Linked DNA regions of Callithrix jacchus. The protein of the gene in region 6 purifies or fractionates together with the protein of the main gene of each other region. This does not show direct contact. Links are inferred from orthologs where the notes say so. Each region holds a gene or a part of one and is shown on either strand. Other genes may lie near its edges. The genes, in order: ATXN3, RUNX1, WDR5, CCND1, STAT3, HDAC3 and XPO1.

What was found.
Region 1: the proteins of HDAC3 (region 6) and ATXN3 purify together in Homo sapiens (affinity purification with western blotting; 3 studies listed by BioGRID). This does not show direct contact. The link is inferred for Callithrix jacchus from reciprocal best matches to the Homo sapiens genes HDAC3 and ATXN3.
Region 2: the proteins of HDAC3 (region 6) and RUNX1 purify together in Homo sapiens (affinity purification with western blotting; 3 studies listed by BioGRID). This does not show direct contact. The link is inferred for Callithrix jacchus from reciprocal best matches to the Homo sapiens genes HDAC3 and RUNX1.
Region 3: the proteins of HDAC3 (region 6) and WDR5 purify together in Homo sapiens (affinity purification with western blotting; 3 studies listed by BioGRID). This does not show direct contact. The link is inferred for Callithrix jacchus from reciprocal best matches to the Homo sapiens genes HDAC3 and WDR5.
Region 4: the proteins of HDAC3 (region 6) and CCND1 purify together in Homo sapiens (affinity purification with western blotting; 5 studies listed by BioGRID and IntAct, with this or other methods). This does not show direct contact. The link is inferred for Callithrix jacchus from reciprocal best matches to the Homo sapiens genes HDAC3 and CCND1.
Region 5: the proteins of HDAC3 (region 6) and STAT3 purify together in Homo sapiens (affinity purification with western blotting; 4 studies listed by BioGRID). This does not show direct contact. The link is inferred for Callithrix jacchus from reciprocal best matches to the Homo sapiens genes HDAC3 and STAT3.
Region 7: the proteins of HDAC3 (region 6) and XPO1 purify together in Homo sapiens (affinity purification with western blotting; 3 studies listed by BioGRID, with this or other methods). This does not show direct contact. The link is inferred for Callithrix jacchus from reciprocal best matches to the Homo sapiens genes HDAC3 and XPO1.

The regions. Positions count from the first base shown.
Region 1 is NC_133509.1:126,952,602-126,956,778, reverse strand, and holds the start of ATXN3 (ataxin-3), read left to right. Parts: upstream 1-1,377; 5' UTR 1,378-1,447; coding exon 1,448-1,471; intron 1,472-2,763; exon of another isoform or gene 2,764-2,902; intron 2,903-4,177. UniProt on the Homo sapiens protein: Deubiquitinating enzyme involved in protein homeostasis maintenance, transcription, cytoskeleton regulation, myogenesis and degradation of misfolded chaperone substrates.
Region 2 is NC_133522.1:41,089,585-41,093,606, reverse strand, and holds the start of RUNX1 (runt-related transcription factor 1), read left to right. Parts: upstream 1-1,222; 5' UTR 1,223-1,354; intron 1,355-1,561; 5' UTR 1,562-1,620; coding exon 1,621-1,678; intron 1,679-4,022.
Region 3 is NC_133502.1:182,702,646-182,706,751, forward strand, and holds the start of WDR5 (WD repeat-containing protein 5), read left to right. Parts: upstream 1-1,306; 5' UTR 1,307-1,432; intron 1,433-1,771; 5' UTR 1,772-1,890; exon of another isoform or gene 1,891-2,088; intron 2,089-4,106.
Region 4 is NC_133511.1:126,558,891-126,563,144, forward strand, and holds the start of CCND1 (G1/S-specific cyclin-D1), read left to right. Parts: upstream 1-1,454; 5' UTR 1,455-1,537; coding exon 1,538-1,759; intron 1,760-2,451; coding exon 2,452-2,667; intron 2,668-3,157; coding exon 3,158-3,317; intron 3,318-4,254. UniProt on the Homo sapiens protein: Regulatory component of the cyclin D1-CDK4 (DC) complex that phosphorylates and inhibits members of the retinoblastoma (RB) protein family including RB1 and regulates the cell-cycle during G(1)/S transition.
Region 5 is NC_133506.1:121,758,031-121,761,530, reverse strand, and holds part of STAT3 (signal transducer and activator of transcription 3), read left to right. Parts: intron 1-813; coding exon 814-873; intron 874-2,238; coding exon 2,239-2,268; intron 2,269-2,369; coding exon 2,370-2,463; intron 2,464-2,559; coding exon 2,560-2,607; intron 2,608-3,500. UniProt on the Homo sapiens protein: Signal transducer and transcription activator that mediates cellular responses to interleukins, KITLG/SCF, LEP and other growth factors. Once activated, recruits coactivators, such as NCOA1 or MED1, to the promoter region of the target gene.
Region 6 is NC_133503.1:40,068,918-40,073,103, reverse strand, and holds the start of HDAC3 (histone deacetylase 3), read left to right. Parts: upstream 1-1,386; 5' UTR 1,387-1,440; coding exon 1,441-1,495; intron 1,496-1,602; coding exon 1,603-1,685; intron 1,686-3,538; coding exon 3,539-3,681; intron 3,682-4,186. Other genes in the region: RELL2 (RELT-like protein 2), read right to left, coding at 1-28. UniProt on the Homo sapiens protein: Histone deacetylase that catalyzes the deacetylation of lysine residues on the N-terminal part of the core histones (H2A, H2B, H3 and H4), and some other non-histone substrates.
Region 7 is NC_133515.1:52,645,317-52,648,135, forward strand, and holds the end of XPO1 (exportin-1), read left to right. Parts: intron 1-1,278; coding exon 1,279-1,425; 3' UTR 1,426-2,319; downstream 2,320-2,819. UniProt on the Homo sapiens protein: Mediates the nuclear export of cellular proteins (cargos) bearing a leucine-rich nuclear export signal (NES) and of RNAs.

The DNA.
Region 1 (4,177 bases), on a different chromosome or scaffold from region 6:
TAACCTCCATCTCCCAGGTTCAAGTGATTCTCCTGCCTCAGCCTCTTGAGTAGCCGGGGTTACAGGCGTGCGCCACCACGCCTGACTAATTTTTGCATTTTTAGTAGAGACGGGGTTTCACCATGTTGGCCAGGCTGGTCTTGAACTTCTGACCTCAGGTGATCTCACCTCAGCTTCCCAAAGTGCCAGGATTACAGGCGACAGCCACCGTGCCCAGCCATTTTTTTTTTTTTTTTTTTTTTGGTGAGATGGACAGAGAGAGAAACTCCGTCTCAGAAAAAAAAAAAAAAGTGCATCTTAATCTGGTTTCCAGGTGCAAGATGTGTGCCTATCCTTCCATTTAAGGTTCATCAAACTGCTGCTACCTCCCCGTTTCCCACACAATTCACTGCACCTCTAATTTCCCTCTAAAGGGCCAGAACACCTATGCTGGTAACAAGCCACTTGAATTTGAATCCTAGCAAGGTAACTTACTATCTTGGACATTGTACTCTTCTTAATCTCTCTGTGCCTTGGTTTCCTCATGTGTATGAATAACATCAACACCGACATCAAAGTTTGCTGTATTAAATTTGATAATATGTGTAAAGCAATTAGAAAAGTGCCTAGCTCATGGAAAGCCCTATATGAATATTAGCTAACTTTTTTGTTTTCTTTTTTGTGTGTGTGATGGAGTTTCACTCTTATTGCCCAGGCTGGAGTGCAATGGCACGATCTCAGCTCACCCCAACCTTCATCTCCTGGGTACAAGCGATTCTCCTGCCTCAGCCAACGGAGTAGCTGGGAATTCAGGCATGTGCCACCATGCCTAGCTAATTTTGTATTTTTAGTAGAGATGGGGGTTGCTTCACGTTGGTCAGGCTAGTCTCGAACTCCCAACCTCAGGTGATTCGCCTGCCTCGGCCTCCCAAAGTGCTGGGATTACAGGTGTGAGCCACTACCCCTGGCCTAGCTATCATTTTTATACAAGTGCTAGGTTTTGGGAGAATGTAATGACACCTTTGCTTAACAACCTTTAATTGGAGGAGGAGGAGAAAGATAATAAATAGTTATTTGAACACAGTAGAAAGTTCAAATAAAGTGGAAAACAAAAAGAACATAGAACCCAGGTGAGTGGTCCAGACCTCCGGCCAGAAACCTAAGAATCCATAGAAATGGGTGGGAAGCGGAACAGATCCTCCAAACAGCAGGTGGCGCTGTAGCATCTCCCAGAAGGCCCGCTAACAGAATATAGGAGGACGGGCTACCAAGGTCACGTGTCGCTGGCGTTCACTCGCTCTTTGCTCCACGTGACTCACATCCTCACGGGTGATTGGTCTACGTACTGCACGTGGGCGGGGAGACTGGGGCGGACCAGGGAGGGGCGGGATAGGCGGAGGAGAGGGGCAGGGGGCGGAGCTGGAGGGGGTGGTTCCGCGCGGGGGCCGTTGGCTCCAGACAAATAAACATGGAGTCCATCTTCCACGAGAAAGTGAGTGTCCGCGTTCGGTGGGGAGCTGTATGTCCGTGCGGTGGGGAGCTGTCTGCCGCGCGGTGGCGGGCGTGGAGCGCGGCATCACAACCTCCCAGGGGGCTGGGTGGGGCCCGAGTCGCCCCCATCCGGATCTCGCCGGGCGAGGGGCGACCCCGCAGCCTCCTGCCTCCTCGGCTCTGGAAGGGGAGCATCACAGAATCCCCCACTTCCCCCGCTGCTTCCTAGGCCCCCGCCCGGGAAGCCGGGAGGGTGTATGGGCGGGGCCGGGGCGTCTCGGGACAAGGGAGTGGGGTGGCGCCTAGTGGGTTCGCTTCTGCCTTTTTCCGTCACTTTCAATCGCTTTTCGAAGGATTCTTTGACCTCCGCAAGCCTTCTCTCTCCCTAGGGTCTAGCTAGAGTGACCTCTGGGACATCTCCCTCGACCCCTCCTACCCCATTCCTGGCAGAATTAACTTTTTCATCTCTGGACTGCTCAATTCTATATTGCAGTGTAGAGTCTTCCCTACACGTAGATCTTTGGAGTCTTGTTCATGTCTTTCCCCTGCACTGGGTCCGCAAGCCTCCCGAAGGAAGGGACCTTGGCTCCCCCACACTGGGGCCTGACACTTAGGAAGTGAAGTAGGAAACCCGGCTTGTCCCTTAACAGGGAAGTCGTCACAAGTTTTTATTACGGGATGTTTGGGTTTGGTTTCTTTGGGTACTCCCATCTTTCCGGAGCAGGCGGCCAGCTTTGTGTTTGGGTATTAGGAGTGGATTGGAATGATTTTGTTGTGGTCTGCCTAGCCCGCTGTCACTTTAACTCTTCAGTGACCATGCACTTGAAGATACTGTTTGTGATAAGTGGAGAAACTTGTCTTTACTCACATGCTATTAATCCAGCCATTTGTGTGTGAGTGAAGCCTTCCCCAGGACAACTTTGGCATATGATGTCTTGTTTCATAATAGTTTCGTGTTTGGAGTTGCTGGCGAGGCTGTTATTTAATAGGAGGAGCAAAGGGTTTTTGTTTAATTAAATACTTGTAAATGATCAGTAATTATCACGATTAATTATCCCAGACATTTAAAATTCACACACACACAACAAATAAAGCAAAGGCAATAAATTTACCAGATGTAAATCTGTAATATGAATCTATTTAAAAATTTTTTATTTTAGCGATGGGATTTCATTCTGTCACCCAGGCAGGTGTGCAGTGGAGAGATCCTGGCTCGCTGCAGCCTTGACCTCCTAGGCTCAAGCGATCCTCCTGCCTCAGCCTCACTGGGACTTCTGGTGCATATCGCCATGGCCAGCTAATTTGTGTGTGTGTGTGTGGAGATGAGGGTCTCGCTGTGTCGCCCATGCTTGTCTCAAACTCCTGGACTCGTGATTCTCCCACCTCAGCCTCTCGAAGTGCTGTGATTACAGGCATTAGCCAGCCACTGTGCCTGGAACAAATTGTTAAGTACAATATTTTAAATTGTAGAAAACATCTAGGAAACTTTTAAAATAGACTGATTTAGAGTGGGGGAGGAAAGACTCAGTCGTATAGTTGTTATTAATCTTTTGGTTTGATTGACATGACTTACAAATCATAGACAATAGAGATTTAATTACTTGGCTCAGTAATTAAAGAGTGGGTGGAAAATACACATGTACTTAAAAAAAAAATTTTTTTTTTTTTTTTTTGAGACCAAGTTTTGCTCTTGTCACCCAGGCTGGAATGCAGTGGCACGATCATGGCTCACTGCAACCTCTTCCTCCCTGGTTCAAGGGATTCTCCTGCGTCAGCCTCCAGAGTAGTTGAGATTACAGGTGCCCACCACCACATCCAGCTAATTTTTGTATTTTTAGTAGAGACAGGGTCCATGTTGCCCAGGTCTTGAACCCCTGACCTCAGGTGATCCACCTGCCTTGGCCTCCCAAAGTGCTCGGATTACAGGCATGAGCTACCGCACCCAGCCGTATTTTTGTTACTAACTTTCAAAGGCTTTGATGTGGGACCACATCTCAACATGGAAGGCCTTAAATATGTTCCACACTACTTCCTGAGATTTAGACAAGGTTTTCAACGATATTGATTGTTACCTAGTTGGGACACATTTCTACTGAACCATGGTATGAAAAAAAGTTGGGTGCTAGCCTAGTGAAAATCTACTTACCTGAAAGAAGTCCCTCTTAATTCTTAGCATGTGTGTAGGCCTACAGATACTTCAGGAATACATTTAATGTTATCATCAAGTTGTATGTACATAGCAAATGAAGATTCAACAATTTAGGTTGATGTTTTTGTTTTTTGAGATGGAGTCTCTCTCTCCTGCCCAGGCTGGAGTGCAGTGGCGTGATCTTGGCTCACTGCACTCTCCACCTCCCGGGTTCAAGTGATTCTCCTGCCTTAGCCTCCTGAGTAGCTGGGATTATAGGCGCCCACCATCATGACCAGCTAATTTTTGTATTTTGTTGTTGTTGTTGTTGAGACAGAGTTTTGCTCTTGTTGCCGAGGCTGGAGTGCAATGACACAGTCTCAGCTCACTGCAACCTCCGCCTCCCTGGTTTAAGCGATTCTCCTGTCTCAGCCTCCTGAGTAGCTGGGATTACAGGCGCCCACCACCATGACTGGCTAATTTTTTGTATTTTCAGTAGAGACGGGGTTTCACCATGTTTGCCAAGAGTAGTCTTGAACTCCTGACCACAAGTGATCTGCCTGCCTCAGCCTCCCAAAG
Region 2 (4,022 bases), on a different chromosome or scaffold from region 6:
CATCATCACACAGGTTCTCTCGAGCCAACATTTCATGTGCATGGAGTGCTATGCAGATGTAGGCAGAGCAAAATTGAATAAGGTAGTTAGTTAGGAAAACAAGTCTTTCTTTGTCTTGGAACTACAAAACAAAATGATGTTTTATTTGTCAGCAGGTAAAGCCAATGGGGCAGGAAAAGAAGTATGTGTGACCAGAGTGGTTTGCCCACTTATAAAATTATCCCATGTTTAGCATCTTCAAACAGTCATGTCTTTCTGTAGAGGACAGATGTGCTATATAATATTTATTAGCCCCAGGAGAAGGAGCTTGCCCTGGAGAAGTGTTTCCTCCTGGTTCCCCTTCTATTGTGAAATCCTCACGTGCTCAAAGTGTAGTTTTACATACAGGTGTAAATTAGCCTGTTGATTTGAATTGAACTAGAGAAAGGTGATGCAGGGAGCCTTCCCAAGTGAGAACACAAACAGCAGAGTAACTACAGCTTTGTCCCAAATACAGGAATTCTCTTTGCTTTATTTTCCTTTAGCTTCCTAATGTGTGTGTTAAGAGAGTACTATGATTTTATCTCTTTACTGAGATACATACTAAAGTTGTCCATTTAGAAGGAATAAAACCACATAATTTTGGTTTCATTAAAATAGCCTTTTTATTTCAAAAGTAAAATTCTTTTCCATTCCCAGGCTTTAAAATACCTGGGAGTTGCCAGCCCCGTGTAGGGGTCAGACTCTCACCAAGACGTTTCCTTTTATTTATTTTTCCCTTTTATAGTTTCACTTATGCCATGATAGTCTTTACCAAAGGACTTAACTCTGCCGGAGCTGATGCTGAGCATTTTAAATGATGGGATCCACATCCTGTGGGAGCAGTGGCTTGATGCCAGCGTTGAATTACTATTGAATAAGCAGCAATGAAATCTTTATCAAAATAATCAGTAGTTCCAAAAACCACAAATAACAACAGGAGCCGAGTTGTACTAAATCAGCAAAGGCCATTGAGATATAATAAGAGACTGAGTCACTTTTCTCTGCATCCCGCCTCTTGCAAATTCTACTCGGCTATTTTCTTGCACAGCCTGGGGGAGGGCAGGTGGAGGGAAGGAAGGGCATTGCTCAGAAAAGAAAAAAAAAAATTGACATCACTTAAGTCACATGATCACCAAGAACCAATCAGGATGGGATGTGGAAAGGGGAACAGTTAAATTTGTAATTTGGGTTGTGTGAAAACTTCTTTGGGCCTCATAAACAACCACAGAACCACAAGTTGGGTAGCCTGGCAGTGTCAGAAGTCTGAACCCAGCACAGTGGTCAGCAGGCAGGACTAATCACACTGAATGCAAACCACAGGGTTTCGCAGCGGGTGAGCATCACCAACCCACAGCCAAGGCGGCGCTGGTTTTTTAATTTTTTTTAATCTTTAACAATTTGAATATTTGTTTCCACAAGGTGCATTTTTTAATAGGGCTTGGGGAGTCCCAGAGGTATCCAGCAGGGGGGAAAAAGAAAGAGAGATGTAGAGTAGGGGGTGAGACTGAAGCAGTGATCTTTCTTGGTTTTCCCTCCGAAGGCAAAAGAAATCATTGAGTCCCCCGCCTTCAGAAGAGGGTGCATTTTCAGGAGGAAGCGATGGCTTCAGACAGCATATTTGAGTCATTTCCTTCGTACCCACAGTGCTTCATGAGAGGTGAGTACACGCTGGTCTTGAAATATGTACTTTTGCTCAGCTTTGCCTGTAATGAAATGGCAGCCTGTTTCACCTCGGTGCAGAGATGCCTCGGTGCCTGTCGGTTCCCTGTCTGGTTTGTGGGAGGAATTCGAACTGAGGCATATGATTACAAAGCTATTGGATTACTTACTCATCAGATGGAAGCTCTTCAGAAATGTTTTAATAAATACTTAGTTACACTGGTAGAGTGTTCAGTCGGTGCGTGAGAACTTTGTTAAGTGCGAGTAAATTGTGCCGGTCTTGTTTAAAGGCTTAGAGATGACGAAGCTTGCACGAAGCTCCCTGGGTTTTATTTTGCTGTCCCTTGCCCGGAATGACTGTGTCTGAGTTACCCTTCACTCCGCATGCTGTGTGGCCCAGAATGCAGCCTGCCCCGGGGCTTAGCAGGCACATGCAAGAGCCAGCCAGGAGGGCTGGTGCCAGTGTTGGGCAGGAGACGGAGGCTCTCGGGTAGACTTGCACTAGGCTGGTGACTTCTGTCCAAAGTGGCAAGGCAGCTGTCTACCAGGCAGAGAGTACAGGAGCCTGACAGAATTGGTTAGGTTAAAATCATCAGCATGGAACTGTGCTGTGTTTTCCCTTGCAGCCTCAATGCAGAGACAACCAGCATCTTTTAAGAGACAAGGAGGCAAATCGTGGCATACTGAGGTCTCTCTGGAAAAGCGCAAAGAAGTCTCCTAAGTTAAATGTTCTCGCAGCTTAAGTCATTAGATTACAGGCTTATGAATGGGAATAGCCAGGGTGGAAAACCTGTCTCCATTTTTGAAACCAGCCTCTTGAAACTCACGAAGCTGTGGTTGAGCCGTGAGTGTATGTGTGTGCATGTCCGTTTTGTGTATCTTTCGTGGTAAAAGCGGGCTGTGTTTAAACAAACAAAAATAATAACGAACAATGTCACAAAGGCATCGCCGTGTGCATCAGGGCACGCACTCTGACCAGTGCCCGCAAAGCGTGGCTTGATGGTTTGGCAGAGCTGAGATGGAGTGGGCTGGGATGGGGGAATAATTAATTTTCTGGCTACAAACTCTCTCGAGCACCCAAATAATGTCTGTGACTCATTATTTATTCATACAGCTAAGTGAGCAGGGGAATGCAGAGGCCCTGCCAGCCGCTTTATCACAGTAAATGCTATTGTGAATGCACGGGGCTCTATGTTTCCGGGTCTCTGAAATTTAAAAAAACTTGACGTGTGTGTGTTTGTGTGTGTGTGTTTCTGTGTGTGTGTGTTTCTGTGTGTGTGTGTTTCTGTGTGTGTGTGTGTGTGTGTGTGTGTGTGTGTGTGTGTTGGGGATGGCAAGGGAGAAGTTAAGGAGAAAGGGAAGAAAGCAAGTCATTAACCAAGTTTGAGCTTCAAATTAAAGAGTTTTCAAGTGCTTCTTTACCGGCAGAGGGAATTTTAGTGAAGTTGAATCACACAGACATACATTAGTCACTCGTCTTGCAGTTGGTAACACAGAAACACCGGCCACTGGTGAAAAGCTGCAAACGGCCCCTGGCTGCATTTCCTCTGGGCTGCTAACAAGCAGAGGAAGCAATACTATTCGTAGAATAACAGAAAAAAAAAGATCTTCCTGCCCTTACTCTGCTTTCAATATCCCCTCGGAACGTATATTGTTTCCTATTTTATCAACTCAGGAAGGCAGATTCAGGAAATTTTTAAGCATTCTGCTGGGAGATAGGTTGCATTTCAGAGTGCAGTGCCAGCCTCTGGGGCTCTTCTTAATGGCCAACAGCAAAGATGGTGAGGGGACACGGTGACCTGTGCAGACATCAGGAGATAGCAGGAGTCCAGCTCTCTCCTGGACAAGCCCAGGGCTCCTGTGCCCAATGGATACTCAGCTGACCTGCCCCAGGTTGGGAATGAGGGTCAGTTAAACTTTCACGAGGGCAGTGTGGGGAGGGCCTGAGCTCTCACTAAGACTCAAAAGGGCTAATCTGAAAAGGTTTCTCCATTCCTTCCTTTCACTGAAAGAAATCCGGGGCCCTTCAGAATCTCTAATTTGATAATATAATATTGAGATTTAATGTCGGAGGGCCACGTGAAATCTTGGCAATCTTTTGGTTAATTTCATCCAAGTGATCTATCAACATAAATTGTCCTGTTTACCCGTCCACATCATTCATCCAAGCTGGAGAGGTGGTAAAATATCATTTCTGTTGGTATCGTTTGGTCATCATCTTAGAGCTTGATGCTAAAACAATCACCACCCCCACCAGCAAATGGCTCTCCTGACCGTTCTCAGGCTGTTGCTGTAGCTGGGCTACTCACAGTGGTCAATGCGGTCATTTCTGACGGCCTATA
Region 3 (4,106 bases), on a different chromosome or scaffold from region 6:
GGGGGAGAACAGCAGGTGATGGGCGGGGATTCTGGCCCAGGCAGCCAGGTGGACGGAATGGAGATGGCCTTCATCCGAGCTTGGTTTGCTAACCTGTGACAGTCACTGTTCCATGCTCCAGGGCACCTGGCCCAAGGGACCAGGCCTTTTGGGCACACAGATCCACACGCAGCCCTGCCGGACCACACAGGAACCTTCCCTTCTGTGTCCTTCCTGGGAAGGGGATTCCAGACCATCTGCCAGTCTTTCGGTTCAGCCTTTCTGACAAGCGCACACCTCACTCTCCCCGGACATTTTTATTTCAAATGCTCTGTCCCTTTGTTTGCACGGGTTCCTGTGTCATATTCTGTGTTCCCATTTTAAATTGGAGAATAAGTGACTGCATGTTATTCTTCCCACAGGCCTAGTTGAGCGGGTAGGGAGGCCGTACCTACCTCCAAGGCTCTAAGAAGTGAAGCAGGAGGCGAGAATGCACAGTAGTCAGGGCTAGACGACCGGGCCTCACCTTCTAGGCCCCGGGGTCCTCCTCTGGGGACCACCCCCTTGTACCCGTAGGTGAAAATACCCGCCCAGGAGGAAAGGGTTGGCCCCAGAGAGCCCTGTGCAAAGTGAGTTTGCGCACTGCGGAGCGGGCGCGGGTGTCTCCAACGCGGCTCTCCCAGTCCGCGGGGCTGGGGAGGAGCAGGTGCGCGCACCGCTGGCTCTGTGCCAGCAGAGGCGGGAAGAGCAGCCGGCCCCGCGGGGAGGCGCAGCCCGGGCTTCCGAGCTCAGTGAACGCGCAGGCTCTGGGGCTTCTAAATGGGCCGGAGTCGTCCTGCCCGCCCAGGGTAGGCGGCCACATGGGGGGCACTGCGCCCGGGCGCGGCCCCAAGTGCTTTCCAAACGCCCACTGCCGCTGTCATCCGTACCGGCGATGATCCAGAAGGGGCCTGGTCGCCCGGGGAGGTGCCCCGGTCCGCCTCGATTCCGGGGACAACGCCAGGCGACGCCACCTGCGCGGGTCCCGGAGGGCCTCTGGTCCCAGTGTGCAGGGCGTACTCAGTCTTGGAAACGCGAGAGCACACTAGCACTTTCCTGTATGTATTATTATACTTCCATTTTTAGGAAGTGCATTAGAAGGGCCTGCGGCAGCTGAATTCGGGATTAAAGCTTTAAAGCGGGAAGCGTGCTCCCGGCGCGGTTCCTTTAAAGCGTTGGGCCTGCCCGAGGCATTCTGGCCGCAGCCGCGGCCCGTAGCGCTTCTCCGAGAGGCGGGCTTTGTGCGCTCGCCCCGCCTTTGGACAACGCCCCCTCCCCTCGCGCACGCGCACTGCGCCCCCGCCGCCTGGCGCCCGCCGGAGCTGCCGCCTTGTCGCGCAGAGTCCGCGCTCCCGCCCAGGAGGCGGCCGACGCGACGTCCCGAGCGCCCGGCCCCGCCGCCGCGGCCCGACAGGTAAGTGGGCAGCCGCCCGGCCCGGGGGGCACGAGGCGGGGAGTGGGACGGCGCCAGAAGCCCTCACATCGTCCCCGGCCGCCGCACGTGTTCCTTGCCGGGCCTCCGGCCAGGCCCAGCCCCCGGCGCTACCCCCACTGCGGCGGCCCCGCCCGGGACCCCCTCACGGGCTCCTCGGTGGACGGCCGCGCGCGCAGGCCCCTGCACCCCGCCCGCCCCCACCGGCGCTCCCACCTCCGATTCCCTGGCGGGCCGCTGACAAGGCCCGAGCGCCGGTACTGGGGCCTCTCCCTCGGCGGCGCGCCCGGCCTCACATCGCTCCTCTTCCTCCATCTCCAGGGAAGGACCAGACCCACGAGCCAGTCAGTCCCCGGACGTGGCGCTTCCCTTCGTAGAAACGCCCCAGCCCGCTCCCGCCGCTCACTCCAACCGGAGGCAGCCAGGCTGCACCTCGCTAGGTGGGGTCCTGGGGTTCGGGTCCTCGCTCCTGAACGGAGGGTCCCCCGCTCCTCCTCGCGCGGGGCCGCAGACCAGTCCTGGCCGGTCTGCGAGAGCCATCTTGAGCGGTTACGTTCCCGGACTAGACGGAGGTTGGGCTGTTACTTCCCGCTAACGACCCTCCCTGCTGTCTCGCAGGCAAGTTTCCAGCTACCCAGGTCTGTTTTCCTATCTCCCAAATGCTTACGCTGTGACCTGGGCAGGTGCGGTGCTAGCCGGTGGGGAAGACAGATGGGTAAGCGAAGGACCCAGGCCGGGAGCCCGTCCAGGACCTGAGATGCGCAGCGCCGGGTTCCCACCGCTGTCGGGCCGGCCACCTGGCTGCTGTTTGGGATGCACATTCATTCCGGTCTGCACGCAGCATGCTCTCTTGGACAGCATGCCGCAGGCCGATTCCTGGGCTCCACCTTGGGGACTGAGGGACTCCGGAATCCGCCAGTGGCATCCAGCCCAGGAGAGCATACTGAGCTTTAGTTGCTGGGCTTCAGGTGGTCAGGCTTACCTGGATGAAAAGCAGCAGCTGCTAGGAGGAGCCAGGCCGCACCTGGGCGGGGGCGGTCAACTCCTCATCACCGTGCATGGAACCTTCTTGGCCCCCACTTTTTCAGCATCAAGTCGCCAACCTTCCTGTTCCCTTAAAGTGATTCTTCACAGAAACTCCTGGGTGTTTATGAAAATGCCAAGCTTTGGGCTGGGTGTGGTGGCTCACACCTGTAATCCAGCACTTGGGGAGGCTGAGGCAGGCAGATTGCTGAGCTCAGGACTTCGAGATCAGCCTGGGCAACATGGCAAAACCCGTCTTTACTAAAAATGCAAAAAATTAGCCGGGTATGGTGGTGCTCGCCTGTAATCCCAGCTTCTCTGGAGGCTGAGCATGAAAATCGCTTGAACTCCGGAGGCGGAGGTTGTAATGAGCCAAGATCTTGCCACTGCACTCCAGCCTCGACCCAAAAAAAAAAAAAAAAAAGAAAATTTCAAGCCTAGACCCCACCACTGAGGTAGAAATTGGTGGGTGTGTAGTGTCAAGAAACTCTATTCTTAAAAGGCATGTTAAAGTTAAGGGTTTTTTTTGTTTCTTTGTTTCTTTTACTTGTTAATGTTTTTAGAGCCCAAAGGGTGGGGTGGGTGGGCCTGAGCTGGGAGGGGTTGAGCTCCTTTTGTAAGACCGCCAGTCTGCTGCGCCTTGCCTGAGGGTGTTTCAGGCATCTGGACTCACCTAGGTGAGTAGACAGCTGACTGGAGCTGCTCGGCCCTCTGAGCTGCCGGTTCTGCCTTCTGTTCCTCTGGTGTTTCACTTGGGTAGGGAACGGCCACACTTCACTCAGCTCTTGCCCTGACTTGGCTGTCTCCGGCTAGGACCTTTGCAGTGGACTTTGCAGCTTTTTGCTTGGATTTCCGTAGCTCCTCCCTCTCCTTGTACTTGTCCAGCGTGCCAGGGAGAAGGCAGCAGTTGGGTTAAATTGCCATGGCCAGGTTGCACTTATGACAAGCACCATGTAGCCGGCATTTACCGAGGACTGGCTTTGTACTGGCACTTTGTACTCTGGGCAGCTCTACAGGGCCTGCCCCTCCCCTTCCCCACTCGTGTGTGTGTGTGTGTGTGTGTGTGTGTGTGTGTGTATGTGTGTGTGTGAGAGTGTGTGATGCTCAGGCTTTAGATGCATCGTGATCCATCCTTTCGAAGGGAATCTTTGCTGCAGGCGAAATGGATCTGTGGCCACACCTGTTTTCTGGAAAGTGGGTGTTGTAGTTTCTCTGCCTTCCTCTTGCATCAAGACTTTGAGACTCTTTTTGATGCCTTCCGTTTCACCTTAATGTTACAAGCAGCCTTGCAAGATTTCGGTTTCAAGCTGCAAACTAGAACGTACAGTGTGTAAACTCGTTAGATGGATGGTGGTGCTAGCTTCCAGAATTCTGATGGCCAGTGGTATTTGCAAGCATGTCTCAGTGGCTTGCTTTTTTAGTGATGCTGTGCCTCCTTTCAGAATAACCTGTTGTGCTTTTATGAGACGTATTCAAGTAATGGATCTATTCTCGAGATGGAGGAAACTAGCTGCTTACTAGAGAGATTTTGGGTAAATTTTATTGTCAAGCTGAAACAGTCTTTTTTCATTCCCTTGCATGTTGGTCTTGCTCGTAGAATATCCCTGGTGTACTTGAGGCTGCTTTTCCAGAA
Region 4 (4,254 bases), on a different chromosome or scaffold from region 6:
GTTCTTGAAATTTACACGTGTTAATGAAAATGAAAGGAGATGCAGAAACTGAGATTCTTTGGCCGTCTGTCCGCTCGTGGGTGCCCTCGTGGCGTTCTTGGAAATGCGCCGATTCTGCCGGCTTGGATATGGGGTGTCGCCGCGCCCCGGAGTCCCCCCTCCTCGTGGTCTCCCTAGGCTGCGTGTGGCCTGTGGGGCTTCCCAGTTGTCCCCTACTGCAGAGCCACCTCCACCCCACCCCCAAATCCCGGGGGACCCGTTCGAGTCGGACCGGGCCCCCTGTACCCCTCTTTTCTGGCGGGGAGAAAGGCTGCAGCGGGGCGATTTGCATTTCTATGAAAACCGGACTACGGGGGCAACTCCGCCGCAGGGCAGGCGCGGCGCCTCGGGGATGGCTTTTGGGCTCTGCCCCTCGCTGCTCCCGGCGTTTGGCGCCCGCGCCCCCTCCCCCTGCGCCCGCCCCCGCCCCCTCCCGCTCCCATTCTCTGCCCGGCTTTGATCTCTGCTTAACAACAGTAACGTCACACGGACTACAGGGGAGTTTTGTTGAAGTTGCAAAGTCCTGGAGCCTCCAGAGGGCTGTCGGCGCAGTAGCCGCGAGCAGCAGAGTCCGCGCGCTCCGGCGAGGGGCAGAAGAGCGCGAGGGAGCGCGGGGCAGCAGGAGCGAGAGCCGAGCGCGGACGCAGCCGGAACCCACAGCCCTCCCCAGCTGCCCAGGCAGAGCCCCAGCCATGGAACACCAGCTCCTGTGCTGCGAAGTGGAGGCCATCCGCCGCGCCTACCCCGATGCCAACCTCCTCAACGACCGGGTGCTGCGGGCCATGCTGAAGGCGGAGGAGACCTGCGCACCCTCCGTGTCCTACTTCAAATGTGTGCAGAAGGAGGTCCTGCCGTCCATGCGGAAGATCGTGGCCACCTGGATGCTGGAGGTGCGGGGCTTCGGGCGGCTCTCTTAAGACCTCCCTGCAACTTGTTGCCCATACCCACGTTTCTTTGCTTCTCACTCCCCTCTCTTCTCTCCCGCTAGACCTTTGAAGTTTGCCGGGGTGTTGCTAGGTATTTTCAAAATAAAAATTGTGGGTATTTTCTGAAGAAGGAAGGGGTGGGGGTGGGGGTGCTAGGAGTTGCGTTTCCTGGGACGGGAGGAGGGGGTCGGGGAGGGGTGCCTCCAGGAGAAGCCAGTGCCAGGAGCACCCCAATGGGCCCGAGGGTGCGGGCTGGCAGGTTAGGTGCGCTTTGTGCCCCCCGCCTGCGCCCCAGCCATGCTGCGGCTCCTCTCCCGGCCGCCGCGGCCGAGAGCCTCCAACTCCGGGGGGAGGGGGCATAGATTTGATTTTTAAATTACTATCCATGGACACGTATGCAAGGGCTTCTCGTGCCAGTATTATGCGCCATCTTTGCTCTTTTATTGCACAGCAAAAGTGTTTATTAATAATTGGGGGCAGGGTGGGGGCGGGGAGCGGCCGCCGGGCGCTGGGGCCGCAACTAGGGGCCCGGCGGCTGCCCGGAGCCCGCGGGAGGGGCGCGGGGACGCAGCATGGGTAGTTTTGGGGGGACCCCGCTGGGGAAAGGGGGGCCTTTGTTCAAGCAGCGAGTCCCAAAGCGCCCCGCACGGGCAGCCTGGGCCGGAGAGCACGCCGAGCTGCAAGGTCGCGTGGCCCCCAAGACGCCAGGGCTGGATCCCCGTCTGCAGGGATCTCGGCTTGGGGGACCTTCTCCGAGCGAGCCGGGGGCCTGGGAGAACATTTTCACACCTTCGGTAGGCGCCTGAGGGGCCCGCAAGTATTTTTAAATAATTTTTGAAAGTGCGGCGTGGTGCCCTTGCGAGAGGGAAACACCGCCCGCGCCCAGGGGGAAGGGGGTCCCCGGAGTTTGAATTCCTGGGGCTTCCCCCGGACCCTGTAACAAACTCCCGACCCCCGGCCTGGGTAAAGGGCCGTCCGAGGGTCATTTTCAGGGTATTTTTACGCACTTAGTTATTTTTTAAATATTTTTAAATATTTTTTGAAAAGATGACGTCTGGGGAAATGCGGCGCGGCGGCCTGGGACGCCACCTTTGTGTCTCGCAGGCGCGGCGCCCAACCCCGCGGCCTTTTGCGCGGCCCCGCACCCCAGTGGGTGTCGACCCACAGCCAGAGGGGCCACGGAGCTCCAGGGCGGGCTGGGGTCCCCGGGGCCTGCAGCCCGCGCCGCCGCCCAGCTGTGCCCGCTCCCGCCCCCACCATGCCAGCCTCGCGGGGACTTTCCCTTTCAGTTTCAGGGAGGGTGGATACTCGGGACGCGCGCGAGAGGGGGCGCATCACAGGAAGCTTCTGCCGCCCCCGGCCCCGACCCCTCGGCGCCCTCCAGAACTGGTGGTCCTGCCGAGCGCGATGGGCATGCGAGGGCGGGGGAGTGGGGTGGGGGTGGCGCGACCTGGCGGCGGCGGTCACGGGCCCCGTGCCCCCGCAGGTCTGCGAGGAGCAGAAGTGCGAGGAGGAGGTCTTCCCGCTGGCCATGAACTACCTGGACCGCTTCCTGTCGCTGGAGCCAGTGAAAAAGAGCCGCCTGCAGCTGCTGGGGGCCACCTGCATGTTCGTGGCCTCTAAGATGAAGGAGACCATCCCCCTGACGGCCGAGAAGCTGTGCATCTACACCGACAACTCCATCCAGCCCGAGGAGCTGCTGGTAACCGCGGGACCCCCGCCGCCCCCCGCGAGCCGCAGGACCACCGGGCCGGGGAAGGTGCAGGGGCGGCAGGCGGCCCCTTTGCCGGGTGTCCTCGTCCTGGGAGCGGGTGGGATCCTAGCCGCCCCGTGCGCGCTTGCCTGCGACTCCCACCTCGTTAGCGCTCTGCGGTGTGGCCGAAAAATGGGCGGCGCGCGCCCTCCAGCGGCTGCACCGGGAACGCCGCGCTCCACGCTGAGCCTTCCGTTCCAGGTGGTGGGAAGTCTTTTTGTTTCCACTTGCAGAATCTTTTCACGCGGCGGGCGCCTTTTCTGTTTTGATCTGGGATCGTGTGTTGCCCCAGCTTCCTGGACCCCCCAGCATTCGCCAGTCCTGCTCCCGCACCCCCAGGACCACACGAGACTCAGGGGCTAGGGCCATACTGCCGGCTTCCCCGCGTCCCCAGGCCGGCCCGCACCTCCCCTGATAGCCGCTCACCCTGTGTTCGCAGCAAATGGAGCTGCTCCTGGTGAACAAGCTCAAGTGGAACCTGGCCGCCATGACCCCGCACGATTTCATCGAACACTTCCTCTCCAAAATGCCAGAGGCGGAGGAGAACAAACAGATCATCCGCAAACACGCGCAGACCTTCGTTGCCCTCTGCGCTACAGGTAGGGCAGGCCCAGCCGCCCCCAGCCTCCCCTTGAAAGCCAGCACCTTAGGTGGCCTGGCCAGCTTCTTGCTCTGCACCTGGGTGCTGTCCCGGAGGACGTCCCTAGGCCCCCGCCTGCGCTGGGAAGAGTTCTTCCAGCTCTGGTGAGCAGAGGTGCTGGCTTGTTTGCGCTGGATGGAAGGGGATTTGCCCTTACGGCCGCGCCACCACGCAGCCAGCCTGCCTGTGTCTAGATGCTGTGGCCTCATCCTCCAGGCCGAAAGGGGTTTACCTTGGCCGCAGGGCCGCCTCCTTTCCCCACCGACCTCCAGCCCTTCTTGTGTCCTTAAGGAGCCTGAGCTGCGGGGGCCCCCTCCTGGCCTCTCCCAGGCTGGGCGACTTGCCAGAGGCGCCTCCGGGGGCGGGGAGAGCTGTCGGCCCGCCTGCACCACGTGTTCTGGGCAGCTGAGTGCAGGGGTGTCCAGCAGAGGAGCTCAGCTGCCTGAGGCCCTGCCAGGGGTGCCGCCAGTCTGCTGGGCTCAGCTGAGCCCTGGGGAGCACTTCAGAGCAGTCTCAGCTTAGGCCGCCACCGTGGGCAGCAGAAGTACCCAGTCCTCACCTCCGCTGGCATGGCCCTGGCCCCAGGACCCAACTGGGATAGACACATGCATACACAGGGTGCTGCCTCCTGCTGTCCCCAGCCCTGCCTCTGACCCCCCTGTGCGCCTCCTTCCCTGGTTACCCTGATGGGGGGGCCCTGCCCCCTTTTGGTCAAGCCTCAGTTGTCACATCTGTTTGTGGGCTCACTCTGGGTGACAGGCCACAAGGTCCGGGACATCAAAGACACAATAGCATCTTCTCCCCCAATCCCTTGAGGGCAGAGCCCCCCCAAACCTATTTCAGCGCACCCTCTGACACAGGTAGCCAGCAGTTAGTGTATTATTCCAGAATGGTTT
Region 5 (3,500 bases), on a different chromosome or scaffold from region 6:
TGGTCTTCAACTCCCGACATCAGGTGATCCACCCACCTTGGCCTCCCAAAGTCCTGGAATTACAGGCATAAGCCACCATGCCTGGCCTTTATTTTATTTTATTATTTTTTTTTAGATGGAGTCTCTCTCTGCCACCCAGCCTGTAGTGTAGTGGTGCGATCTTGGCTCACTGCTATGTCCATCTCCTGGGTTCAAGCAATTCTACTGCCTCAGCCTCCCTGAGTAGCTGGACTGGCATACACCATCATGCCCGGCTAATTTTTGTATTTTTAGTATAGAGACAGGTCTTAGTCATGTTGGTCAGGCTGATCGCGAACTTCTGACCTCAGGTGATTTGCCTGCCCTGGCCTCCCAAAGTTCTGGCTTACAGGTGTGAGCCACCACGCCTGGCCTATTTTAACATTTTTTAAAGAGAAAGATAGAATCTCTCTCTTTGACCCAGGCTGGAGTGCAGTGGCATGATCATGTCTCATTGCAACCTTGAACTCCTGGCTACAAGTAATCCTCTTGCCTCAGCCTACTGAGTAACTGGGACTATAGGTTCATGCTGCCACACCCCGCTAATTTTTAAATTTTTTATAAAGGCAGGCTCTCGCTTTGTTTCCTAGGCTGTTATGGGACTCCTGGGCTCAAGTGATCCTCCCAGCTTTGCCTCCCACAGTGCTGAGATTATAGATGTGAGCCTATAATTATAGACAGCTTGGCCAATTACCTCTGAGAAATGAAGAATTATGAATTTTACCTTTCTTCAACAAAAGGTTATGGGAGAGTCTACTGACTTTTTTTTTAATTGGATAATTTCTTTTTAAATAGGTTGCTGGTCAAATTCCCTGAGTTGAATTACCAGCTTAAAATTAAAGTGTGCATTGATAAGTAAGTACTCCTATCTTAGTTCTTGTTTTCAAATGAGGAACAGAAAAATGAGAACTTTTATAGGCATCATTTGAACTCGAGATTCTATCTTTATTCAGAGATGTTTTTGGGGATGAAAGTTTACAAAAGCCCTGGGGTGCATTGTCATTTACTTGCCAGAACAAAGCCACAAAGCTGAGGGTATAGGTGTGATTTGTGGTTGCTGTTGTTTAGCGTTTTACTTGTACATGTAATTCATGCATTTTATATATAAGACTGAGATCATGTGTTAATTGATGACTGAGATACATTCTGCAAAATGTATCATTAGGCAATTTTGTTGTGCCAACATTTATGTAGAGTAGATGGTCTTTATACAAACTGGGTGGCAGAGTGCCTATGCTATGTGGTAGAGCCTGCTGCTTGTAGGCTGCAAAGCTGTACAGTATGTTACCATGCTGAATACCGTAGGCAATCGTAACACACATCACAATGCGGTAGGAGTTTTTCAGCTTATCATCTTATGGGACCACTGTCATATGTGCAGTTTGTTGTTGACTGAAATGTCTTTATGTATTCTTTCCATACATAGCGTGTGGAAAGAATAGATCTTTTTTTTTTTTTTTTTCTTTTTTTTTTGAGACGGAGTCTTGTTCTGTCGCCAGGCTGGAGTGCAGTGGTATGATCTCAGCTCACTGCAACCTTTGCCTCTGGGTTCAAGCGACAATTCCCATGCCTCAGCCTTCCGAGTAGCTGAGACTGCAGGTGCACACTACCACGCCCAGTTAATTTTTTTTTTTTTTTTTGGATTTTAGTGGAAACGGGGTTTTACCATGTTGGCCAGGATGGTCTTGATCCCCTGACTTTGTGATCCACCTCGATCCCCTGACCTTGGGAGGCTGAGGCCTCCCAAAGTGCTGGGATTACAGGCATGAGCCATCATGCCCAGCCTTTTTTTTTTTTAATTGTTCCACACTTTTACCATATAATGGAATACTCAAAATTTTATAATACCTTTCAGGATGTAAGATACACATACCCTTTGAATATATTAGAAAAGAGAAAATACATACTTAGTTGATATAATTATCTGGAAATTTCATGACAATGAACTGGAAAATAATGAAATAAGGGAGTTGACAAAGGTGGGAGGTTTAATAAGTACATATGCAATGTGAAACACGGGTTCCCCTTCCTATGGGGAGGCAACCAACTGTGCCTACTACACAAAGGTGTTATGATGCACTGATAAACTGTAACTAAATTGTTCATAGAAATGCCAGGAGCACAGAGGTTTTTTCAGGAGAGTAAATAACAGGTGGTCAAAGTAGGCTTTTTGAAGAAACATGGACCCTGTTTTACTGACAACGGTCTATGTTCTTACAGAGACTCTGGGGATGTGGCAGCTCTCAGAGGGTAAGTTTCGCCTAGAGGCTTCCTTTTGTTCCGTTTAACTTAACTTTATCCTGACTTTATACTTGGTCACCTATATGGCTGACTGTTCTCCTGCAATTCAGATCCCGGAAATTTAACATTCTGGGCACAAACACCAAAGTGATGAACATGGAAGAGTCCAACAATGGGAGCCTTTCTGCAGAATTCAAACACTTGGTATGTGGGAGGAGCTTCCTTCACACAGGGCTTCTGGCTGAGGGAGAGAGCTGGGGAGAGCCTCATGGGACACCTGGCCTTTTTCTTTCCTTGCAGACCCTGAGGGAGCAGAGATGTGGAAATGGGGGCCGAGCCAACTGTGATGTAAGTTTTGTTGGGGGTGTTTTCCCTGAGGGAGAAAGGGGAAAAGACCCTTCTTATTACCCAGAATTAGAAACATCAACCTGTCCTTTCAGCTATAGTTAATTCCAAAAAGCCATTGCAGGCCAAAGTGACCTGATCAGAAGTTCCATGTGCTGTGGCGTTCTGTGGCTTGGAGCATTTCTGTGAATATCTGGGAGTTGGCTCCTCCTTAAGGAGAAGTGGAAAGTCCCTTGCTGAGTCGTTCTCCACACCCATGTGTTATAAAGTAGCTTTCCACCTTGCCTGGGGCTTTCCAAATTCCCCTTCCAGATCCTGCCGTTGACTCTGCTTGGCTCCATTCTCAGTGTCCCATTTTTCTCTCTCACTGAGGTAGGATAGATGGTGTAAAAGCAACAGTCCCGAGCTAAACTTTAAAATAAATGACCACCTTGTGTTAGCTTGCTTAGGAAAAGAGAAAATAAAGTCAACGAACAAACAAAAACTCATCTTGTTCTTTATCCCCCTTATTTTCTGCCTTTCATTGATTCAGTTGGATTCTTAATGTCAAGTGTCAAGAATAATTTTTATTTTTTTAATAGAAAAAGGTAAATATGACCTAAAGCTAGTTTAATGATTTTTAAAAATTGTGATACCCTGTTCTTGTTCTCACATTTATCCCCTGAACAATTCTTCCTCTTTAAAACGTAGCAGTCCTAGCTAGGTGCGGTGGCTCACACCTGTAATCCCGGCACTTTGGGAAGCCGAGGCAGGCTGGTCACTTGAGGTCAGGAGTTTGAGACCAACTTGGCCAACATGGTGAAACCCCGTCTCTACTAAAAATACAAAAATTAGCTGGGCATTGTGGTGTGTACCTGTAGTCCCAGCTACTAGGGAGTCTGAGGCATGAGAATGGC
Region 6 (4,186 bases):
GTTCCAGGTCAGGCTGTGGTTCCGACATGAGGTCCTGGGGGGCGAGCGCGGGCCAGGGCGCCTCCTGGGTTTAGGGGGCTGCAGCTGGGAATGGGGGAGGGGTAGGAATGCCTTGCTCAGGGTCTGAAACAAGCTAGTCTCAGCGGTCCGGCTCCACCCCCTACCCAACCGGGGAGCTGTCCGGGCCAAGGGTGCTGGTTCGCCAGTACCGCCCGAGGCAAGAGGTGAGCGGCTACGCAAGCTCTCTACCACAACCCTGGTCCTGTTTCCCCGACGCCCCGAGCGTTTCCCTTTACAGCTTGTTCGCGCTTCTGTCCCTCCCAAGGACACTGCAGCACGAGATGGGACGGAATTCTTAGGCGGCGGGAGCAGAAATCGCGCCTGAGTCAGCGCCCTCACCTCCTCCGAGCCGGTCTGAGCCAGGCCTCTGCAACCCTCTCCTCTCAGTACTCCCGCACCCCTTCCCCTTTTCGGTTTCTTCCACCCAGACCACCTGGCCCGCCCAGTACCGGTGATTTGGTTCTGGTTCCGGCTTCCGCTCGGGTTCCGGCTCCAGGGGCGTCCTAGTGCGGCTCAGGGCCCCCGACGCCCTCCCGGCGCTCATCCCTTGATTCCTCCCCTCCCCCTTCGCCGCCTCACCGGCCCCGGGCTGTGGCTGCGGATACCGGCGCCGTGGCAGGCGGGGGGAGGGAAGGACAGAGAAGGATGCGGGCTGGCTGGGAGCGGCGGCAGGCTTCGAGCAACCCCGGCCCTGGATCAGGGAGATGGGCGCCTCCGCAGCCGCCCTGGCTTCCCAAACGCCTTCGCCGGTCGCAGGCCCAGGACCAGGGGGCGGAGCGCAGGTGTAATGGGCGGAGAGCGTGAGCCTTGCGCGCGCGTGACTGCGCCGGGCCCCCCCGGGGCAATGTGCGGCGCGGAGTCTGGGTCCGGGTGGGGGACAAGCTGTCCGGTGTGGGTGTTGTCCACTATCCGGCACGCCTGGCGCAGCTCCTGCCCTCAGATGCCCCGACCGAGCGGGGAGTCAGGAATCTTCCCCGAGGGCTGGGGGAAGCCGGCTTTCCGCACCTTTGAGGGAGGGAGTGGCGGGACCTTCGTAGCTTCCTAGAGAAGTGACCACGGCCTGCGCCCGGTTTGGGGCAAGCGGCTGGATGGGATGGCTCGGCTTTCCGAGGATCTGACCCCCGGCCGGAGAGAAAAGGCCCTTGCATCCTAGGAGCGATGCTACCAGTTCCCCGCCTGGACGCCCAAAGCCCCAGATCCCGGGAGAGCGGAGACGGGCGAGGGGCGGAGCTCCTCTGGGGGCCTGGCCCGGGTGTGGCTGGAGGCGGGCCCCGCACCGCCCAGTTCCGCAGAGGCAGGCTACGTGCTGGCGCAGCACGCACGGCCGGGGCGGGGCTGGCGGCGGGCGGCGGAGGCGCGGGGCCTGCTCCCGCCGGCACCATGGCCAAGACCGTGGCCTATTTCTACGACCCCGACGTGGGCAACTTCCACTACGGTGAAGAAACAGGGATATGCACGAGGGGTTGGGACGCGGAGATTTGGAGGTGGGGGTTGAAACTCCAGGGGTGAGAGCTGACGAACTCTCTTCTCCCCACCCCCCAGGAGCTGGACACCCCATGAAGCCCCATCGCCTGGCATTGACCCATAGCCTCGTCCTGCACTACGGTCTCTATAAGAAGATGATCGTGAGTCCCCCTGCCTCGGCCGTGGGTTGGGGGGTGGGGAGAACTGTGGCCGTAGGGATAGGTGGGCTGGTCTGAGTGCATTGAATGCGACCCGCCCCTAAAGTAGGGGGAAGCTGGATAGAAGACATCAGGAGTACCTTGAATGTGCACGGTGTTGGGGGTGGCGTCCTCTGCTTAATTGAAAGTACTTTCTCACCGCAGGTCCGCCACCCTCTGACTATAGACAGACTGGCCCTTGGCCTAGGGTTAGGGTGATGTGGGACTGGTTTGAAGACAGAAGGTGTGTTCCTCCTCTGCATTTTAGAGTGTGGATAGGGCCTAAGCCTCAGGAATTGGGATGGGGGAAAGGATATCACTTTATCGGGGTGTGAGATTTACCCTCAGTTCCCACTCCTCCTTTACCAACAGTGCTGCCATGTTTGTAAGTGTGTATGTGCGTGTGCAAGAGTGGAGATATCCTAGATATTGCGTTTTCAGCCTAGAATACCTCTACATGGTTCTGCTTAATTGCTATCCAGTTTTTCATCTCCCAGACATACACATGCTGTCCCCCAAGCTTGGAATTTATGGCTGTGATATGGGATAGTAACAGTTAAGCCAGGCATGGTGGCCCATGCCTGTAATCCCAGCACTTTGGGAGGCTGAAATGGGAGGATTGCTTGAGGCTAGGAGTTGGAGACCAGCTCGGGCCACAGTGGGACCCACATCTCTACAAAAATAAAAAATAAAAGTAGCCATGCGTGGTGGGTGTGCCTGTAGTCCCAACTACTTGGGAGGCTGAGGTGACAGGATGGCTTGGGCCCAAGAGTTTGAAGTTACAGTGAGCTATGATCATGCTGTAGCACTGCAGCCTGAGTGACAGGGAGGACCTTGTCTCAAAAGAAAAAATAAGACAGCCCAGGCTTTATGTGTTGCTAGGAAATTAGTGAACAATATGAATGAGTGTTAATTGCTTATGCCAAGGCACAGACGAATGGATTGGTCATAGAAAAGACTGAGGTGATGTATGTGCAGGAATCTATACCCCTTGAGATTGTTTGCCCGTACGTACCTGTGTGCATTTTCTGGGAGAAGAAAAGCTCTTTCTTTTTTTTTTGGAGACGGAGTTTCGCTCTTGTTACCCAGGCTGGAGTGCAATGGTGCAATCTCGGCTCACCGCAGCCTCTGCCTCCTGAGTTCAGGCAATTCTCCTGCCTTAGCCTCCTGAGTAGCTGGGATCACAGGCACACACCATTATGCCCAGCTAATTTTTTGTATTTTTAGTAGAGATGGGGTTTCACCATGTTGACCAGGATGGTCTCAATCTCTTGACCTCGTGATCCACCCGCCTTGGCCTCCCAAAATGCTGGGATTACAGGCTTGAGCCACCACGCCCAGCCTGAAAAGCTCTTTCTTGTCCAGTTTTCAAGGAGGTGTGACACATCCCCCTCACCTTCCAGAGATGATAAATCTTTGATTTTAATTAGAAAGTTGACATATATCCCATATAGTTGACTCCAGAAAGAAGAATCCAGAGGAAAGAGGACAGAATCAGAGCTTGGGGGAGGAGATGAGCATGGAGAGAAATGGGAATAGGAAAGCCAAGGAACAGGGCAGGTGGATCAGGGCTCAAAGTTGAGAAGGTACGATAGGTTGAGCTGGAGGTGGAAAGGAAAAGAAGTGGTCTTCAGGGGGCTCAATTGTAATAGCCCACCTGGTTAGTTGGAGTCTCTCTCCTGACTTAACGATTGTGGGATGAGAGTATTGTTATGTTTGGTTTCATAGAATCTCCAGGACTGGGTTCAGTATGGGTGGTCTGAGCCTGTGGAGTGGGGCTGACCCTGCCTGAGTTCATCTTGTGTCTCCATCCTGAGGTCTTCAAGCCATACCAGGCCTCCCAGCATGACATGTGCCGCTTCCACTCCGAGGACTACATTGACTTCCTGCAGAGAGTTAGCCCCACAAATATGCAAGGCTTCACCAAGAGTCTTAATGCCTTCAATGTAGGCGATGACTGGTAAGGAACGACTGGGACTTTTGATGTCCAACAGTTTAATTCCAGTCCCTTCAGTGAGGTATTTTGGCACCAGTGGGAACATCTGAAGGGGGGCCTGCTTGTCAAAGAATCATAATTAACTTATTTGTTTATTCAATAAATATTTATTTGTCATTTGCTCTGGGGTAGGCCCTGTGCTAAGTGTTGGGAATGCAGTGATGAACAAAACCAAAATTTTAATATTGTGTTTTTGCTAAGTATTATGAAGAGGAGGTATATGACAGATTATGAGAGTGTATACATGGTGAATTTTCTAGCTTGGTGGAGTGGCTGGCTTCCTAGAGGAAGTAAAGATTGAGCTGAGATCTGAAAAAAGAGTAGAAGTAGTCAGATCAAAGGTGGTTGGAGGGTGAGGGGCAGAGTATAGCAGCAGTAGGGACAACATGTGATAAGGGTCTGTGGTAGGATTGAGTATGACTCATTTGAGGAACAGAAAAAAGGCCAAGTGCAGAATACCAAGAGACGG
Region 7 (2,819 bases), on a different chromosome or scaffold from region 6:
AGAATTTGTATCATTTGATTTGTCATGCCAAATAAGTGGAGTTTGAAGATAATACATTTATACAATCTCACTAATCAAAGAACCTGAGACCAGTAATGGAGTGAAAAACTAAATCAGGTCCAATAAAGATAGGTTTGAGATGTTATTTGGGTGAACTTATTATTAATATAATTCATTTTAGGGATTGTTAAGTATATAATGGAATAGTGCCTAAGAAAAACATTAGTAGTCCTTTTTATAAGGCTTGCCTTGGAGGCAGAGGTTGAGATCATACATTGGGGTGACAGAACAAGACTCTCAGAGAACAAATTTCTGTGGATACATAGAAGGTGTATATATCTATGGGATGAAATGCATGAGATACTTAGGTAGAAGCATACAATATGTAATAATCACATTGAATATTTAATACATGGTATCACACCATGAATTTGTATTTATTTATTTATTTTTTTTTTGAGAGGAGGTCTTGCTCTTGTTGCTCAGGCTCGAGTGCAATGTGGTGTGATCTTGGCTCACTGCAGCCTCTGCCTCCCAGGATCAAGTGATTCTCTTGCCTCAGCCTCCCAAGGAGCTGGGATTACAGACACCTGCCACCACACCCAGCTAATTTTTATATTTTTAGTAGAGACAGGGTTTCACCATGTTGGCCAGGCTGGTCTCAAACCCCTGACCTTACGTGATTCACCTGTCTCGGCTTCCCAAAGTGTTGGGATTACAGGCTGTACCAGCCCTGTAATTGTTCTGTAACCTTATTTTTCTCCAGCTAGCAACTGGGGGAAAATATTGAGGTTAATTCAGCTACACAGTATATTGTATCACTAGTCTATAATTTAAAACCCTATCAGGTTTTTTTTGTTTTTGAGACAGAGTCTTGGTTTGTCGCCAGGCACCAGGCTGGAGTGCAGTGGTGTGATTTCAGCCCGCTGCAGCCTCCATCTCCTGGGTTCAAGCAATTCTCCGGTCTCAGCCTCCCAAGTAGCTGTGACTACAGGCGTGTGCCACCATGCCCAGCTAATTTTTATATTTTAGTAGAGATGGAGTTTCACCATGTTGGCCAGGATGGTCTCGATCTCTTGACCTTGTGATCTGCCCACCTCAGCTTCCCAAAGTGCTGGGATTACAGATGTGAGCCACTGCACCCAGCCAAAAACCCTGCTAGCTTATGGATAATTTATATTCCTTCTCTAAAAGGAAATAGCTCATCTGTGATTTCTTTATTTTTCAAAGGCAAGTTGAAGTTTATTGCATTGACATTTCAACTATCTGTTTTCACAGGAGTTTGCAGGTGAAGACACTTCTGATTTGTTTTTGGAAGAAAGAGAAATAGCCCTACGTCAGGCTGATGAAGAGAAACATAAACGTCAAATGTCTGTCCCTGGCATCTTTAATCCACATGAGATTCCAGAAGAGATGTGTGATTAAAAGCAAAATTCATGCTGTTTTTTTTCTCTGCAACTCTTGTTGGCAGAGGAAAACAGCATGTGGGTATTTGTCGACCAAAATGATGCCAATTTGTAAATTAAAATGTCACCTAGTGGCCCTTTTTCTTATGTGTTTTTTTGTATAAGAAATTTTCTGTGAAATATCCTTCCATTGTTTAAGCTTTTGTTTTGGTCGTCTTTATTTAGTTTGCATGAAGTTGAAAATTAAGGCATTTTTAAAAATTTTACTTCATGCCCATTTTTGTGGCTGGGCTGGGGGGGAGGAGGCAAATTCGATTTGAACATAGACTTGTAAATTCTAATGCAAAATTACACGTTTTTTCCTGTAAACAATACCAATTTTTAATTAGGGAGCATTTTCTTTCTAGTCTGTTTCAGTCTAGAAGAAAAGATAATGAGTAAAACAAATTGCGTTGTTTAAAGGATTATAGTGCTGCATTGTCTGAAGTTAGCAACTCTTGGACTGAATCGTTTGTCTAGACTATATGTATTAAAAGTCTCTTTGGCAAGTTTGCAGCAAGATCATGTGCATATCATCCCATTGTAAAGCGACTTCAAAAATATGGGAACACAGTTAGTTATTTTTACACAGTTCTTTTTGTTTTTGTGTGTGTGTGCTGTCGCTTGTCGACAACAGCTTTTTGTTTTCCTCAATGAGGAGTGTTGCTCATTTGTGAGCCTTCATTAACTCGAAGTGAAATGGTTAAAAATATTTATCCTGTTAGAATAGGCTGCATCTTTTTAACAACTCATTAAAAAACAAAACAAAACAACTCTGGCTTTTGAGATGACTTATACTAATTTACATTGTTTACCAAGCTGTAGTGCTTTAAGAACACTACTTAAAAAGCAAAATAAACTTGGTTTACATTTATTTTTCCTTTATCGACTCAGATTTATTTGTATATTAATGATAGTGGTTATTTGTGTTTAAGCATCAAGTAACATTTTAAATGAAGTTTGACACCTTGGTTTACAAGTAAGATGTCTACAGTTATTGTTACTAGTAAAGGTAGCAGGTGTGTAATATGAGCGTGCTCCTTTTGTTCTCAAGAAACAAATTATTACTCCTGTGACATTTTGACTCATTTTACCTTTATTTGGGATTACAGGGCACTTGTTGTCTAACTCTAGTTAGCATCTAAGTGTAACAGAATACACATTAGCCTTAGAATGAGAACACAGATATAACCTGGTACAAGTATTAGTTGTATTATTATAAAATGTAAGTAAGTAAAATGTAAATAAAAATAGCCATGAGTCTTCTAAAAAGGGTGAGTGGGGGCCAGGCTTGGTAGCTCACACCTGTAATACCAGCACTTTGTGAGGCCTAGGTGGGCAGATTACTTGAGTTCAAGAGTTCAAGACCAACCT